Linked DNA regions of Mus musculus. The protein of the gene in region 1 interacts with the protein of each later gene in a biochemical or structural test. Links are inferred from orthologs where the notes say so. Each region holds a gene or a part of one and is shown in the gene's direction. Other genes may lie near its edges.

Region 1 (8,638 bases):
TCGACCAGCAAGAAAGACCAACCACCGGTTCTTCTTTAAGCAGTTTACTCAGGCAGCTACTTACTTTAAATCCCCTAGCCTCTCTTGTTACAAGTGTTTTTCTCTCCACTCCAGCCACAACCACGCCCCCACCAATCACCACAGGTCACATCACCTCACCAGGAAGCTTGCTCAGCCAATCAGGGATTAAGGGCAGGCCATCCACCAAACATGGGCTTGTTTACTACCTGGAGCAGACTTCCATCTTGCTGACCAGGAAGTCTGGAATGGCTCCCTACATCCCCTTCTTTTTTTCCTTCCAGTTCCACCCCAAATCTATCCTCCCCTTGCTCCTCCTCTTCTTCTCTCCCCTCTTCCTGGGTACCACACTACCCTGGGACATCTAGTCTTAGCAGAACACACTGGCTTTCTTTACATAACTTTTGTCTGCTCTTTCTTTCGTTTTCTCTCTCTCTTTCTCTGTTTCTTTTTCATGTTTACAATAGACATTTATTTAAAGTGAGACATAGGTAGAGCAAATATTTCTTAAATTGTGATTCAGATTGAAATAACTTTGTAGAAGTATGGTGAGACCAGGCACACCCACAGATCTTATCTAAAAGATCACTTCTTCCCCCACTCCTCTCTCTCCTTTCTTTCCCGAATAACCTCTTTTAGATAGGGTTCAAGGTAGAATTTGTCCTCCTCATATGTTGTCCACTGATCCTTAGGCAAGATCCTATGCCTCATAGTCAGGCTCTCTTAATTCGAAACAGCCTGTCATAAAGGTCCTCAGGAAGCCTTCTTATGGCTTCTTTTACATCTTCAGTTTCATGTAGTGTAGCATCTCGCATTATCCCCAGTTTATTGAATCCTGCAGCGTTATAATACCACTTTCGAAAACCATCCAGCCACTTGCTTGATGCTGCAACAGCAGATTGACCCGCCATTTTGACCTAAGAGTCTTCTGTCTGCTTTCATACACAACCCAGGATCATCTGACTAGTGGTGGCACCTCCCACAACGGGCTGGGTCTTCCCACACCAATTATTAATCAAGAACACACCCTCTAGACTTTTTATAGACTTTGCCTAGAGAGGAATCTGATGGGCGCACTGTCTCAGCTGAGGTTCCTCTTCCCTGGTGACTCTAGCTTGCTTCAAGCTAACAAAGCAGCTAAGCAGGGCGGAAAGAAAGCTGTGCATCTTCTAAGTTTGAGAGGCTGACTGGAGCTCATTTAGTTTCTGAGACTGATAAGCCAACCTCTTCTCTCTACCAGCGGGTGTTGGAATTCTGAGGACACCTGAGGATGGCACTGACATGGACCTCTCAGCGGGAACTCAGCGGGAATGGAAGACAAACAGTCTTACCATATTGAATCTGTCACCCCTACCACATACACTGATATTACCTGTCGGCTTGCATAGAAAGGTCTCTCACTTCTCAAATGTTCTCCCCACCCCAAGGTAGCTCCGAGCTATCTCTCTGTCAATTCTGTTCTGTTTGAGGCTCTGGCATGATCAATATTTCTTTCACCTTTGAACCCTTACCCTGTAGACCCCGGCATGGGGTCTATTTTTCAAGAACCGAGTGATGGAAACTGGATCCAATAAGCATACTATACTATTCGTGCTATATTTGTGGTTTTGAGAATGGCTCTTTCTAGGTGGCCCTGACTGACCTGAATCTGTTGTGTAAAACAGGCTAGCCTTGAACTTGAAGTGATCCTCCTGCCCCAGCTTCCCGAGTGTGCACAGGCAGAAGTCTCACCACCAAGACTCACTGTTTACACAATTTTAATAATTTTTCTTTCTGTTCCTCTACCCTCTTGCAGTCTATACTTTTTTTTTTTTCTTTTATGTATGTGGGTACACTGTCGCTGTCTTCAGACACACCAGAAGAGGGCATCAGATCCCATTACAGATGGTTGTGAGCCACCATGTGGTTGCTGGGAATTGAACTCAGGACCTCTGGAAGAGCCAGTTGGTGTTCTCCAACCTCCAGTCTATACTTTTCTGAAGTCAAAGTTGGTAATATATTTTTTAACCTCTTGGAATATTAATAAGGTTGTTTTCTTTGTACCAGACTGATTGAATTATGCACCATGATTCTTACTGTTAATGTTTTCTTTTTAAACAAGCCTTGCTCCCCCGCCCCCCGCATTTTGTTGTTGTTGTTTGGTTTTTGTTTTTCTACACAGGGTTTGTGTTACCTTGTGTTACCCTGGGTGTCTTGGAACTCACAGAGATCACCTGGTCACTCTGCCTCTGCTTCCCAAGTGCTAGGATTAAAGGCGTGTGCCACCATGCCCAGCTTTAAATAAGTTTTCAAACTCTTACAATATGGGGGAAAAAAGCCGTAACATTCATTGTTAAAAATTTTATGTGAGCTGGGCAGTGTTGGCACACGCCTTTAATCCCAGCACTTGGGAGGCAGAGGCAGGTGGATTTCTGAGTTCGAGGCTAGCCTGGTCTACAGAGTTCCAGGATAGCCAGGGCTATACAGAGAAACCCTGTCTCAAAAAACCAAAAAAAAAAAAAAAAAAAAATTTTAATGTGTTCTTTCAGAGTTCCTGAGTTCAATTCCCAACATGGTGGCTTGCAACCATCTGTAATGGGATCCGATGCCCTCTTCTGGTGTGTCTGAATACAGATATTGTGTACTTACATTCATAAAGTAAACAAACCTTTTTTTAAAAAAAATTATGTGTATGAGTGTTTTGCTTGCATGTATGGCTGTGTACCACATTGTGCAGTTCCAGAAGAAGCCAGAAGAGGGCGTTGGAGATCGTCTTGAACTCTTGAACTGAAATTACAGCCGGTTGTGAGCTGTGCCAATGCTGGTCTTCAAACCAAGGTCCCCTGGAAGAGAAGCCAGTGCTCTGAACTGCCAAGACGGCTCTGCAGCCCCTTAGTGTTATTTAAATCATTCTTGTGGGATACTTTGCCACCAGGGATTCCAGCAGTGTGGAGCTCCTCCCTAAAGGGTTGCATCAACTCCCAAAATACTAACCTCTCCTTATCAGGTTTTTCTGCTCAAAAACCGGTAAACTTCTCTGACACGTTTCTTAAGCGGGTCTGCTCCCCCGCCCTTTGGTTTTTAAATCATTTGCGTTTCTAAGTCGTTCATGTATCTAATCCCTGCTCTTGGGAGACAGAGGCAGGCTTATCTTTGTGAGTCGGAGAGCCTGTAAATACGGAGTTCCAGACCAGGCAGAAGAGGCGAGGCCTGGGCACCATAACAAGTTCCAGCTCCCTATCTAGTTCTGCTTGCGTGTCGCTTGGGTTTCCAATCATTATCGTCAGAACACCTGCTCCGGGTCTTTGGCAGCAATGCGCTTGTTTTAGTGAATGGGGGGGGGGGGGGTTCTAGTTTGTAAACTCGCGTTCATAAAGCGTGCGTGCAAGTGGTAGTATGTGATGGCCAGTAACCTTAGCAAGCCGGAGTCCGAAGCCGGAGGATAGCCACGAGTTCGAAGCTAGTTTGGGCTGCACTAGTGAGACACTGCTTAAAACAAACCAGACCAAAATAAAACACAATAGCAACAACAAAACCAAAGCAAAATAAAACAAAACTGTTAAGTCCTGCAGGTAGCGGAGCGCAGCAGCAGCAGGCAGCAGCGTTCCCACGCGCGCGAGTCAAAGACACAGCGCACAGCGAACCCGTGGGTCCGCCCAAACAGCCTACTCCGATTGGCTGATAAGGCTGACACTTCAGCCAATGAGAGCGTTCCTTGTTGGTTTGTCGCGCGCAGGAGTCTGGGAGCTCCGGCCGTTGCCCTGGAGACGCCGGTCGAGTTCCGGGGAGCAAGGGCTGTGTGTGTCTGCTAAGTGTGCGCACGGCTCCCGTGAGCGCGAGGAGGTGGAACCACGCGAGAAGACCCGCTCTTCCCCTTCCTCCCGGGCGCGGTGGGCCGAAGCCAGGCTCGAGACCCGAAGGCACGGGCGCGGGTCTTCTGCCCACGCTGGCTTCTTCTCGCTTCCCGCAGCCTCGCCCGGTGGCGCCTAGGGTGGGTCACAGTGACCGCAGCTCGAAGCCATCCCTTTCGGTGCGTCCTTTCGTTCACCTTCACCGCAGCCCAGCGAGGTGAGTGTGATGTGAGTACCATTTCCAGGGGTGGAAACTGAGGCCGAGGGAAGGTTTTAAACGACTTTAAAGTTCCGGTGCGGCTTACCCCGACTGCAGCCATTCTGCTCAACACCCTCCATGGAGGAGGCAGGTAGAACGACTTCACCTGGCGCTGTCAGGTTTCTGCACTTGTGGACTTTGCCGCTTAACTCTTCAAGACGTGACTTCTTATAGGTCATCAGTGTGGCCTATTGAACCTCATCTGGGTAAAGTTCCTTCTATGTGATTGATTAATTTGCTTAGGAATAAAATTTAGAATGATCTCCTTCAGGGGTTGGCACACTCTTGTAGATAGATTTATATTTTATGTTGTAAATTTAATTTAAAAAAAAACAATACTTTTAATGGTAAGTGTTTTAGATTTGGGGTGGCTGTTCAATTGTTTCATTAATAAAGTCAAAGACAATATATGAGACAGTGTGTCACTATAATTTTATTTATAGATACTGAAAGCTGAATGGAAATAATTTTTATGTAATTGTCATGAATCAAGAGGTTGGTTGGTTGGCTGGTTGTTTTCCTCATTAGAAATGTAAAAAAGAAAAAAAAATCCTCCTTTCGGGCTGTATAATAGCAGTGGATGGTGAACCTACAGGCCATGTCTAGACCAGCATGTCACATCATAGAGGAAACAGGCATAGAGAGGGGCATTTATGTTAAGTCAGTCTCTCACACACAGTTCTACCATAACCTCAAGACTGCCAGAAGTCAGGTGTCATAGTTAGGGTTTTACTGCTGTGAACAGACACCATGACCAAGGCAAGTTTTATAAAGGACAACATTTAATTGCGGCTGGCTTACAGGTTCAGAGGTTCAGTCCATTATCATCAAGTCGAGAACATGGCAGCATCCAGGCAGGCATGGTGCAGGAGGAGCTGAGAGCTCTACATCTTCATCTGAAGGCTGCTAACAGAAGACTGACTTCCAGGAAGCTAGGACTAGGGTATAAAATCCCACTCCCACAGTGACACACCTCTAACAAGGCCACACATCCAAATAGTGCCACTCCCTGGGCCAAGCATATGCAAACCATCACACTGTGTGTAATGGTGTGTGTGCCTTTAATCCCAAGCACTGTGGAGGCCGAGACAGGTGGAACAGAGCAAGTTCCAGGATAGTCAGAGCTACACAGGGAGACCCTACCTTGAAAACTCCCTTATCCCTGACAAGAAAAATTGCCAGGCTCCTAGACCCTAGTAGGCCCCTTGGTTGCCTTTCACTAACTGGATGGCAGAGCTGAGGGCCATAAATAGCTTTTCTTTACTATGATCTTAAGCAATGGAAACTTCATAGAGTTTGGAAACAGACCTGCTATGTCAGTGCACGCTTTTAATCTCAGAACGCAGGAGGCAAAGGCATGTGTTTATCTCTCTCAGTCTGGTCTATATAGCAAGTCCAGGCCCAGTCAACTGGCACTACATAGATTCTGTGTTTAAAAGAAGAAGAAGAAAAAAAAGGGTAGGGTGGGGGTTAGAAACTTGAGATTTTTTTTTTTTTTTGGAGACAGGGTTTCTCTGTGTAACTCTGGCTGTCCTGGAACTCACTCTGTAGACCATGCTGGCCTCGAACTCAGAAATCCGCCTGCCTCTGCCTCCTGAGTGCTGGGATTAAAGGCGTGCACCACCATGCCCGGCGAAACTTGAGAATTTAAAATGTGTTATTCTTAGAAAACTGCAACAGTTAGGCTGGGAATTGATAAGTGATTATAGATTAAGCATCCTAGTCTGAAAATCTTAATTTCCCCCAAATCCAAAACTTTTGAGTGCAGAGATGACTGTGGAAATTCTGTACCATGATACTTTGTTCCATGTACAAATTATTAAACATTTTATGTAAAATTATCTTCCGGCTATGTGCATAAAGTATATGATGAAGTAAGTTTTGTGAAACTAGGATGTCCTTGAATTTGAACCATCCTTCAGGTTCCTCATTCTCCTGAATGCTGGGATGACAGGCCTCCAATCCCAGCTTTAAAAAAAAGTGTTTGATTAACTGATAGATTAATCTTGTGTATGAGATGACGGTGGGGCCTGAGTGCCGCAGCACCATTGGAGCTCAGAGGACAGCTTTGTCCATGTGGTTTCCGGGGATCCAATTCCTGTTCCTTTATCATCCTAGCCATCTCGCAGCAGTCAAGGCGTTTGCTGTAAGCATCACTTCTTAAAGGTCACACTGTCTGCCAGCATTGACCCACCGAGGCCCAGGAATCTTTTGGGGAACATGCTGAAGTTGACCCTCAAGCGCAGCACATGCACACTGGAGTGTAACTCTGGACCTGACCTCTCTGTGGCAACATGTGCTGCTTCCTCTCATTTCATCCCTTAAGGCTTTATGTAGCATGTGTTATAGTTTGTGTTTATAACATTGGATAAAGCTTATTCTCTTCTTAGCAGGTTTTTTTTTTTCACTTTGTACTTAGGTAGTCTTACATTTTTATTTTTCTAGATGGTCCTTGATGTCATCTTGTCTGTTATCTCGGTTTTGGGGGGCACTGCATGAGGTTTATGTGGTAACTTCGGGAGAACTGACACCTTGTATCCTACCTGAGGAGAAGAGATGCGTTACACAGGAGTCACACTCTGAGTTGTGTTCTACAATTTTCCCTGTGTACATTGCAGATCTCTTACTAAGGACTTTATCTTGTTGGTCCTGCCAATAGGATTTTCTGCACTATCATATTGTCTATTTATGGTTTGTATGAATCAATTTTTACATTAAATTATCATTATTATCTTTAAATTATTTTAATTTTAAAATTACGTATGTGTGTGGGTATGTGCACATGATGTGGTTGCTCAGGGAGGCCCGAGATGTGCATCAGCTCCTCAGGAGCTGGAGGTAAAGATGGCTGGAGCTACTTGATGTTGGTGCTGGGAACCAAACTATGTTCTCTTCTGGAGCAATCCATGCTCTTTGTTGCTGAGCCAGGTTCCAGCTCTGTACTCATCAGCTAATGGTGTGCTGTGTGTATACTAATGGTGTGCTGTGTGTGTACTAATGGTGTGCTGTGTGTGTACTAATGGTGTGCTGTGTGTGTACTAATGGTGTGCTGTGTGTGTACTAATGGTGTGCTGTGTGTGTACTAATGGTGTGCTGTGTGTGTACTAATGGTGTGCTGTGTGTGTATTAATGGCCTGTGTATGTACTAATGGTGTGCTGCATATGTACTAGTGGTGTGCTGTGTATGTACTAATGGTGTGCTGTGTATGTGTGGAGTGTTTTTTCCATTAATACTGTTTTGGCTTTAGGACCAAGGTATTTATTTCTATTTTTTCATGACAAGATGTTATTCTTCTTTTCCCATTTTTTTTTCAATTTTTTTCTTTTTGGTTGTGTTCATAGCTATTGAATTTGGTCATTTTTCTTTAAAGAAGTAAATTTATTTTAAAACACCTTAATATGTATCTGCTTGTCTGTATGTGCACCATGAGCATACAGTACCTGTAGAGGCCAGAAGAGGGCTTGGATCCCTTAGAACTGGCATACAGGAGGTTGTGAGCCATCTGATATGTGAGCTAAACCTTGGTCCTCGGCCAGGGCAGCCAACACAGCCCGCACTTGTAAATGCTAAGCTGTCTGTTTATGGAAATAACTGTATGATTTAATTTTTATATTTTGTTATGTTTCTTTTATTTTCGATTGACTCACTTTTACCTAGAAGTTTTGTTGTTGTTGTTTTGGTTTTTTTTTTTTGGTTTTTCAAGACAGGGTTTCTCTGTAGTTCTGGCTGTCCTGGAACTCACTCCGTAGACCAGGCTGGCCTTGAACTCAGAAATCCACCTGCTTTTGCCTCCCAAGTGCTGGGATTAAAGGTGTGTGCCACCACACCTGACTTACCTAGAAGGTTTTTGTTAGACAGGGTCTCTATATAGCTCAGGCTATACTTGAACTTAAGAGTCCTCCTGCTTGCTGGCCACTATACCTGCTAGAGTTGGATTTTAAATACATGGCTCTTCCTTCTTGTTGCTGATGGTAGTGAATAATAGACCATGTACACACACATATGTGTTTATATATGCATATGTGTGTGTGTATGGTTTGCATGTGTATACACGTTTGTGTATATATTTCTGTGTATGTTTGTGTTTAGGTCATTGATGAATGTTAGAAGTCATGCTCCACCTTTTAAGACTGATCTCTCACTGAAGGTTGACTTATTAGTAGCTGCACTGGCTGGCCTGAGAGCTCCAGGGTCGTCTTGTCTCTGCTCCTAGTTCTAGGCTTACAGATACATGCTGAGGATCTGAATGCAGGTCCCAGCCCTTAGGCTTTGATCAGGACTCTCTTGGTTGTAATAATGTTTATGGAAAGGTGTGTGTGTGTGTGTGCGCGCATATCTGTATGTATGTATGTATACGTGCCATAGAAAAGATGTGGAGCTTAGAACACAACCTTGGATGTTGGTCCTTGCCCTTCACCCACCTTTTTAAAAATTAAAACAATTATTGTGGCTAGAAAGATGCTTCAGTGGTTAAGAACATTGGCTACTCTTCCAAAAGTCCCAGATTAGATCCCCAGCACTCGAACGTTT
Region 2 (8,178 bases), on another chromosome or scaffold:
AAATGGCTTTAGGTAAAGGCACTTACTGCCAAGCCTGAGTTTAATTCTCAGGAACCCCATGGTGGAAAGAAGAACCAACTCCTGCAGGTTGTCCTCTCCCATATGTGCTACAGCATGTGCATGTGTGTGCATGCACTCCAGGGCAAAGCATGCTCTCAGGTAGGTAGGTAGGTAGGTAGGTAGGTAGGTAGATAGATAGATAGATAAATAGATAAATAGATAAATAGATAAATAGATAAATAGATGTGATTTGATTTTAAAAAAAGAAGGCAGGTATCTAAAGTTTTGAGTGACCGAGGGTAGCTTGGGTCTGAGATGGTAGAGAGCAAAGAGCTCAATGAGTGCGGGTCCTCTGTGCTTTCTTGTATTGTCCTTTCCTGTCTCCATTCAGTTTCTCTCATCTAAGTAGAACCTCGGGTTTGCATGGGCAGAGTCCCCACCCCCAAGCACACTCTCTAGGGAGCCGGCAGGACCTGGCTTCTCCCTAGACAGCTGTGTAGCATGCCTGCCCCAGGGAACGCTGTAGGGAGGGGAGGATGGCTCTGGGTGGGGATTGGGGGGGGAGGGGGACTAGAACATCTGGGAACCACGGGAGAGAAGGTTGGAGAAGAGTAGGGGATTTGGGGGAGGAGCTTGGAGGATGCCCGAGGGCCATCGCCGGCTGGCTGACTGAGTGTGCGGTTGCAGACCCTGAGGAAGAAGGGTTTCAACGGCTGTGACAGCCCAGAGCCGGATGGGGAGGACTCACTGGAGCAGAGCCCCCTGCTGGAGGACAAGTACCGGCGGGCCAGTGAGGAGCTGGATGGGCTCTTCAGGCGCTATGGGGTGAGCCCTCCTCACCTTTTCTCTGGCCCCCTTCCGGCCCCTCCCCCAGGCGCTGCACAAGAAGCACAGGGAGTGTGAGAGCCCCGAGGTGGACGAGGCGTTTGCCCTGACCCCCCAGACGGAAGAGAAGTATAAAAAGATAGACGAGGAGTTTGATAAGATGATGCAGAGTTATAGACTGGCCGTGAGTAGTCGCATGGAGGAGAGCCTCCTGTGCTGCATGGTGTGGCTTCACTCAGCCTTGCCCGGCCCTCGGCTGCCTCTGATGGATGTACTATGCTGAGCCATCCTTGAGCTGGTACTGACCACTGAGGAACTCCTGACCTTGGTCTTGATAACCCTCTTGTAAAGTTCTTCTTGCATAAACTAGAGAGACCTGCAGTATCCTCTCCCCAGCAGAAAGTGCAGTCTCAGGAGGGAAAGGGAGTGGAGCGAGTTCTTTGTCCCACTGTTTTGGGGGATCCCCCTTGGGGTGCTTTGGCACCCCTGCCTCAGTCATTCAGCTTTATGTAAAGGAAGCGGAACTACTAAAGGGATGGTAGAAAGGTGGGCTTGAGCTGCTCTTAACGCAGGCCAGAAGGTGGTGGCCACTTAGCGAAGCCATATCCTCAGTACTATGCGAGTTCGGGTCTGTACCCAGGGCACTAACTTGCTCCCAGTGTGTCCTGCCTGGCTGAGGACTAACCCACCTCCACTGGGGGTATCCAGTCCCACCTGCAGTGGGCAGAGCCTGCCTCTCTTGCCTTGGGTCAGAGCTGTATTGCAAAGTGCTCTTACCTTTCTGATGGGAGGTAGGCAGGACTACCAAAGGGCTGAAGGCAGGGAGCCCAAGCTTCTGGCCTTTGGAGATATAGTTCAGGAACCAAAGAACTCTGTGTCTACCCTCAGGCAAAACGGGTATGGGGGAGACACTGACCTGGTGTGACATTACCCTCCATCTTCCTGTCTAGTCATCTGTTCCGGCCCCCAACTTTGCCATGCCTGTCACAGTGCCCGTGTCCAATCAGAGCTCCATGCAGTTCAGCAATCCAAGTAGCTCTCTGGTCACTCCTTCCCTGGTGACATCATCCCTTACGGACCCACGGCTCCTGTCCCCCCAGCAGCCAGCACTACAGAGAAACAGTGTTTCTCCAGGCTTGCCCCAGCGGCCTGCTAGTGCAGGTAAGTGGGCTGGAGGGTGAGTCCCTGAGGTCAGAGTGAGCTGTGGAGGGGCTCTGGGCTTCTGTTTTCAGTGGAGGGTCTTCCCTTTGCAGCGTTTCTGTATGTGTATGACTCTTGAGGGGAAAAGGCCTAGGACTCCTCAGAGACCCCTCTTCTTGTCCTGTCCCAAGACAAAGCTCATGGTAGCTCTGCTTTTCTCCCAGGAGCCATGCTGGGTGGAGACCTCAACAGTGCTAATGGAGCCTGCCCCAGCCCCGTTGGTGAGTGTAGCTGCCTCCACAGGGTGGCTCAGACCAGGGGAGGGAAATAACAGGGCCTGAGCAGGATGCATCAGAAGATGTTAGCCTCCCACCCCATCTTGTTTGTTTGTTTTTTTTTTTTTTTTTCTTTTTTCTTGAGACAGGTCTTACTATGTAGCCTTGCTAGCCTGGAACTTGCTATATAGACTAAGATGCCCTCAAACTCATAGAATCCACCTGCCTCTACTGTCTGAGTGCTGGGATCAAAGGCATGCACCATCATACTTGGCCAGGGTCTAGCATTTTCAGATTAAAATGGGGCATCTTGTTGGGATCAGGACTTGTCTCAACAAATGGTAGGCACCCAAACACCACCGTGCACACAGGCCTCCGTGTTCCTATGGAGTCACCATACAGATGTGTACCTATAGGCATTCACACTAGAGCTATAGGAAGTAACCACCATTGCCCCTGGGCCCCAACACAGCTAGCCACTCTTGATCTGTGCTGTTGGCTAGTGACCTCCTTCTAATGTCACCATTGACGTCACCCTGTCATTCTTGCCATTCCCAGAGTGATCTTGGAGTTGGGATAGAAACAGCAACACACTTTGAGGGTAACCATGTGCTTGTAGCAGACAGAGAAAGGTGAAATTTCTCACTGTGGGGACAACTTACATTCCTGAACCTCAGGCTCTTCCAGCTCAGTCTCAGCCAAGTGCTACCTGTTTCCTGTCTGGTCATTATGGGTCCTGTGTGAGGTGGGTGGGCGTGAGGGTACTGTAGAAGTGGTTGTGCACTAGGGCCATGAGACTGTAGACTGAAGGCATACACCTTCTCTCCAGGCCTTGCTCACAGGCCCTGGAGCTCAGCGTTGGGACCTCAGTAAGATGGCCCTGGATGGTTGTGGAGAAGTCACCACAGCTCTCTCAGCTAGTGTCATGCTTCCTCTAATGTCATGTTCCCAGAACTGACAAAAAGTCCATCCCATGCACTTCACAGGGTTGATGTGAGCATGGGTGAAATACTGTGTTTAGAAGACCTGGACATGGCAGAGTGCAGAGCCAATGTAGAAGTTGTGATGCCTTTTTCCCAGGTCTAGTTATGGGAGTGACCATATCGCCAGCCCCCAGTGCCAGCAACACCTTTACCAACAGTCAGTGGCCTGTTTCCCCATGGTGGCAAGCAGCTTGCCTTGTGCTGATGGAAAACACAGAGTTCCAGTTCCTGGCAAGGAAACAGTCTAAATGGTTGCCTGGCTCTGGTGGTCACAGCCTGCCACCCTTCCCACTCGAGTCATGCATCCTGTGTGAAGCCTATGGAGGGGTCTGAGTGCCAGGCTTGGGGAAAGCATGGCTGCAGGGCTCTCTTTAAGTGCCTGGGGCTGGCAGTGGCAATGGTTGCGTGTCAGTTCTACCTCTGGTTCTATCACTGTGGCTTGGAGGCTGACTTATGTCAAGTGATTGGGAGCCAAGGCTTTAGGCAGTGACAGGCAGGCAGCATCCATGTCGAATGCTGGCATGCCTCCGAGAGCCTCCAGGTGACAGATATGCTTGTCTGGGGCAGTTGGCAGGTACAGAGGCAGGCCACCATTTTTCGTTTCTCATCTCACTTTTCCAGGGAATGGCTATGTCAGTGCCCGAGCTTCCCCTGGCCTCCTCCCTGTGGCCAATGGCAACAGCCTAAACAAAGTCATCCCTGCCAAGTCTCCGCCCCCACCCACCCACAACACCCAGCTTGGAGCCCCCAGCCGCAAGCCTGATCTGCGGGTCATCACTTCCCAGGGAGGCAAAGGGTTAATGCATCATTTGGTGAGTGTGTTTCCGGGCTTTGGCAGGGTCTGGGAGGTGGGAATAAAAGCAAGAAAATGAAGGTTAGTAGCAGGTAGGACTTCTTGAGGGCCTTTGGACCATAGCAGTGCTGACCAGAGGGCAGTAAAAATGAACAGGAGATAGGAGAAAAGGGTGTATGATGAAGATGGTAAAAGGAATTCACACTGCACCATGAGAATAAGGACTGGCAGACGATATCTGGCTGATGGAGGCCAGGATACAGCAGTTTATGGCTATCAGATAGACAGACTATCTAGATATCCTTTTGGGCCACAAAGAGCACTCTGCTCTTAGGCAAATAGGGGGACTGGGGTGGCCATATGGGAAGGGCAGGAGCCATAGCCTGAACCTTCCTTTTGGTTTTATTTCTGCTCCCAGACTGAGGACCATTTAGATCTGGTAAGTGCAGCTAAGATGTTAACAGTGTCTTTGAGTTCCAGCTTTGCCCAGTGTTATTCAGTCTGTAGCATGAGTTTATGTACCTGTCTTCTCCCTGTGTGTTTAATGTGGTTGTCAGGAGCTGTGCATAGAGCTGAGTGGGATACTAAGGTAAATGGGGTAGCGGGAAGGGCTGGACATGGCATGCATGTGTCATCTGTGTGTGCATGGATATTTATATGTTACCACACTTATTCATATATGTGTATGTGTGTGCATGTAGAAAAGAGCATGAGGCTATTCACGGCCCTTTGAGGCCCCAGCAGATACCTGAATTAAGCCCTTAGTTTCCATTGGCCTCCTGACTCCACATAGGCCCACACAACATTGGAATCCAAGACACAAGCCTAATCCTTACAAGAAAATCTAGGAAAGTCCAAGGCCAGAGGCTGTCATTAATGGAGTTGTCCTTAGCAAGGACTTCTCTGCCTGCCTGTTCACTCCCGTCCTCCTCCGAGCCCATCTCACAGGCACTTAGAGACGTGCACAGCCCCTCCTGTGCTTACACTCATCATCAGCCAGGAAAGAGGAGGGTGCTTCCTCCCCAGCTTGCTGACAGGAGGCCAGAAAGGCTGGAAAAGGCAAGCAGGCTTTGGCGGCCAACACACCGGCAGCCTCGGCCCCAGCATGGAGCTGGAATAAACAAGTGACTCAGCAGCAGATGGAGCTGACAGCCCTACACACGTGTGTGCATACATGCAATCACATGCCACCCCAGATCCCACGTTCCATTCCCAGATGCCAGTATACATCTCCTGGGACATCTGCTACTGTAATGGGTACAGAGGAGACTCTAGTGGTCTTAGCCCAAGAGAGACCACATCTCTTCCTTCTATCATTCCACCCAGGTACCAGGGCAGGGTTCACATTGAGCTCCAGGCTGCTCCCATGCCTTCCTGTCTGTTGGGTGCAGATGCAAGTGAATCTGTGTGTGCATGTTTTTCTCTGTGAGTCTTGAGGCCTTCAAACACAACAACTGTGTTAGTGAGTCTGTGGGCCTCCATGCTATGGTACCTTCCCTTGGAATTCAGGGACCTAGTTCAGATGCAGTATAGGTTGACCACCTCGAGACAGCCCTCCCATTTGCCATCTCTTGACAGACAGTTTTCTCCTACAGAACAATGCCCAGCGCCTTGGGGTCTCCCAGTCTACCCACTCGCTCACCACCCCAGTGGTTTCCGTGGCAACACCAAGTTTACTCAGCCAGGGCCTCCCCTTCTCCTCCATGCCCACTGCCTACAACACAGGTGAGTGTTGATGTAACTTGGTACTTTGTGCTCTTGTGCATAGGGCAGGGAAGTGACCAGAGATGGTCACTGGATGCTCCTTCCAATCTGAGGAAAGTCCTTCACTAATTAGTGTGGTAATTAGTAGATCAAACATAAAAACAGAATCCTGGGCTGGGGGTGGAGCTCGGTTGGTAAAGAAAGGGTTTACCTTGCAGGCATGAAGCCTTACGTTCAGTTGCTAGCACTATTTATAAGCCAGATGTGGTAGCACTTGTCTGTAATCTGAGCACCAAGGAGGTGGAGACCAGAGAACCAGAAGTTCATGGTCACCCTCAACTACACAGGGAATTAAAGTCCAGCTCAGTTACATGAGACTTTGTCTCAAAAAACAAAACAGGGGCTAAAGAGAGTGCTCAGCAGTTAGGGAAACTTGCTGCTCTTCCAGAGAGTTCACTTTCAGTTCCCAGCACCCACACAGTTACTCACAACTACTTGTAATTGATCCAAAACCCTCTTCTAGCCTCTTCCAGGCACCTGACCACATATGGCATACATACAAACATATACACATAAAAAAATTAAATCATTTTTTAAAAGTTTATAAACAGAAATAAAATTCTTGATTTGAACTTAAGACAAAACAATTTCTTTTTCAGTCTTAAATGTATCCCAAAGGCACTATTTGTGCTAAAGTGCATCCCAAAGACATACTTTTTAAAAATGCATTGTTAAGGTAAAATTCACTTTTAACCAGTGATCTTTTATTTTTAGCATAGGTTCTTGTGGAAGAGTAACTGCTGTCCAGTGTGAGGGGACGGACAGACCAGAGGTGGCTGAGCACATGACTCAGCCACACCAGGCTGATAGAGTTATGGTTTGGGGGCTGGGGAAGGGACATGGTCAATGCAGCAGAGCTTCCTAGAGGATGCAGAGTGGATTGGCTAGTTGCCTGAGCAGAGATGGCTCGGTACAGCAGTGAGTGGGAGGCAGGATAAGCCTGGGAAGGCTGGATAGGTCTAAAGGTGAGCAGTTACCTAAGGACATGGCAGAGGCCTCTGGGAAGAACTGTGGGACATAATGCAAGCTGGCATGGCTCTGTCAGCCTCTCACACCTTCCCCAGAACAGTGTGATGCCCGCAGCCATCCTTTGCTGCATTCAGGCTGCTGTGTCTGCCCAGGAAGGACTTGCTAGTGGGGAAATGTGTTGTCACCTGGTCTTGGAGCTTTTGTGTGGCAGTAAGCTCTTTCTTTCCCACTTCATTCACTGATCCTCACGCTTGAGTGACCAGTATTCAGGCCATTCTGTGGTGACAGTAAACTCCTCCACCTCTGCCAGTCCTTTGGGAGCTGAAGCATGTTAGGGTACAGATCCCACCACAGTTCCCACAGACCCCACCTTTGCCCTTTCCCAGCAGCAGGAGAGATGCTGAGGAGCAGGCAGCAGCCTACTTCACGCTTCAGCAGGGGCCAGGCTGTAGAGGACTCTGGGCAGATGTCTCTGACCCTAGTTCCTTGGCTGCCTCACAACATACCCACTCCCACGTTATTGAATCTTGAGGCTGAGGAGGGGCTGGCTGCTTCAGAAGTGGCAGCCTGAAGGCCTGGTTCAGGGCACATAGGTGGGTAAGAGGGTGATAAGCTCCCTCAGCCTGTCAACCATTCCCAAGACAAGGAGAAAAACCAACTTTCTGAGTCTAATGGGGAAGTGGGCATTGTTCGTTTAGGAATCCTACCATGGCAGCTGCCTGTGCTTTTGCCATTCAGTCTTGTGAAGTAGGAGGGAAGTTAGTTCATCTCGGCTCTCTTCGTGGCCTGCTTGTGTCTCTAGGGTGTGAAAGCAGCTTTGGCCCGAAAGCTCCAGTTGCTGTTGCTACAGGAGTAGTTGAGCAGACTTCTGTCAGCAGCAGACATTTTCGGGTACCACATCTGATGTGAGCCAAATTCCAGTAGGTGCTAGGCGATCTACTATGGTAGTATCCTGCATGAGAGGAGAAGGGCCTGGCCTTTGTGGACACTACCTTAGAGGTCTGTCTGTGATGACTACAAGAGCAGCTTAAGGAGGTAGCCGGGTGGCCTGGAGACCGACTTCTTGACCCGTAGGAAATAACCCTCCCAGTGGATAGAGCTCCAGTGCTGGGATGGGGCAGGACTAAGAGCTGGGTTCTGATTTCTCCCCTGAGGTCCTTAGGTAAAGCACTGACCTATTCTGGGCCTGATTTTCTTGTTTGTAAAATAAGCACAGAATACAGTTAGTCCCAGAGGCCACATTTTGCATTTATACTAGTTTTTAAAATGAGTAACCAGGGGGTTGGAGAGTTGGCTCAGTGGTTAAGAGCACTTCTAGGGGACCCAGGTTCACTCCCAAGCACTCACTGGTGGCTCACAACTGTTTGTAACTTTAGTTTCAGCGGGTTTGACACCCTTACACAGATGTGCATGCCAGCAAAGCACCAAT

The links.
Region 2: the proteins of Cabin1 (region 1) and Mef2d form a complex in vitro, tested with the Homo sapiens proteins (2 studies listed by BioGRID). The link is inferred for Mus musculus from reciprocal best matches to the Homo sapiens genes CABIN1 and MEF2D.

Annotation. Positions count from the first base shown.
Region 1 is NC_000076.6:75,759,452-75,768,089, reverse strand, and holds the start of Cabin1 (calcineurin-binding protein cabin-1), read left to right. Parts: upstream 1-3,732; 5' UTR 3,733-4,065; exon of another isoform or gene 4,066-4,076; intron 4,077-8,638. UniProt on the Homo sapiens protein: May be required for replication-independent chromatin assembly. May serve as a negative regulator of T-cell receptor (TCR) signaling via inhibition of calcineurin. Inhibition of activated calcineurin is dependent on both PKC and calcium signals.
Region 2 is NC_000069.6:88,157,347-88,165,524, forward strand, and holds part of Mef2d (myocyte-specific enhancer factor 2D), read left to right. Parts: intron 1-687; coding exon 688-825; intron 826-874; coding exon of another isoform or gene 875-1,009; intron 1,010-1,775; coding exon 1,776-1,986; intron 1,987-2,189; coding exon 2,190-2,246; intron 2,247-3,844; coding exon 3,845-4,035; intron 4,036-4,434; coding exon 4,435-4,455; intron 4,456-5,611; coding exon 5,612-5,741; intron 5,742-8,178. UniProt on the Homo sapiens protein: Transcriptional activator which binds specifically to the MEF2 element, 5'-YTA[AT](4)TAR-3', found in numerous muscle-specific, growth factor- and stress-induced genes.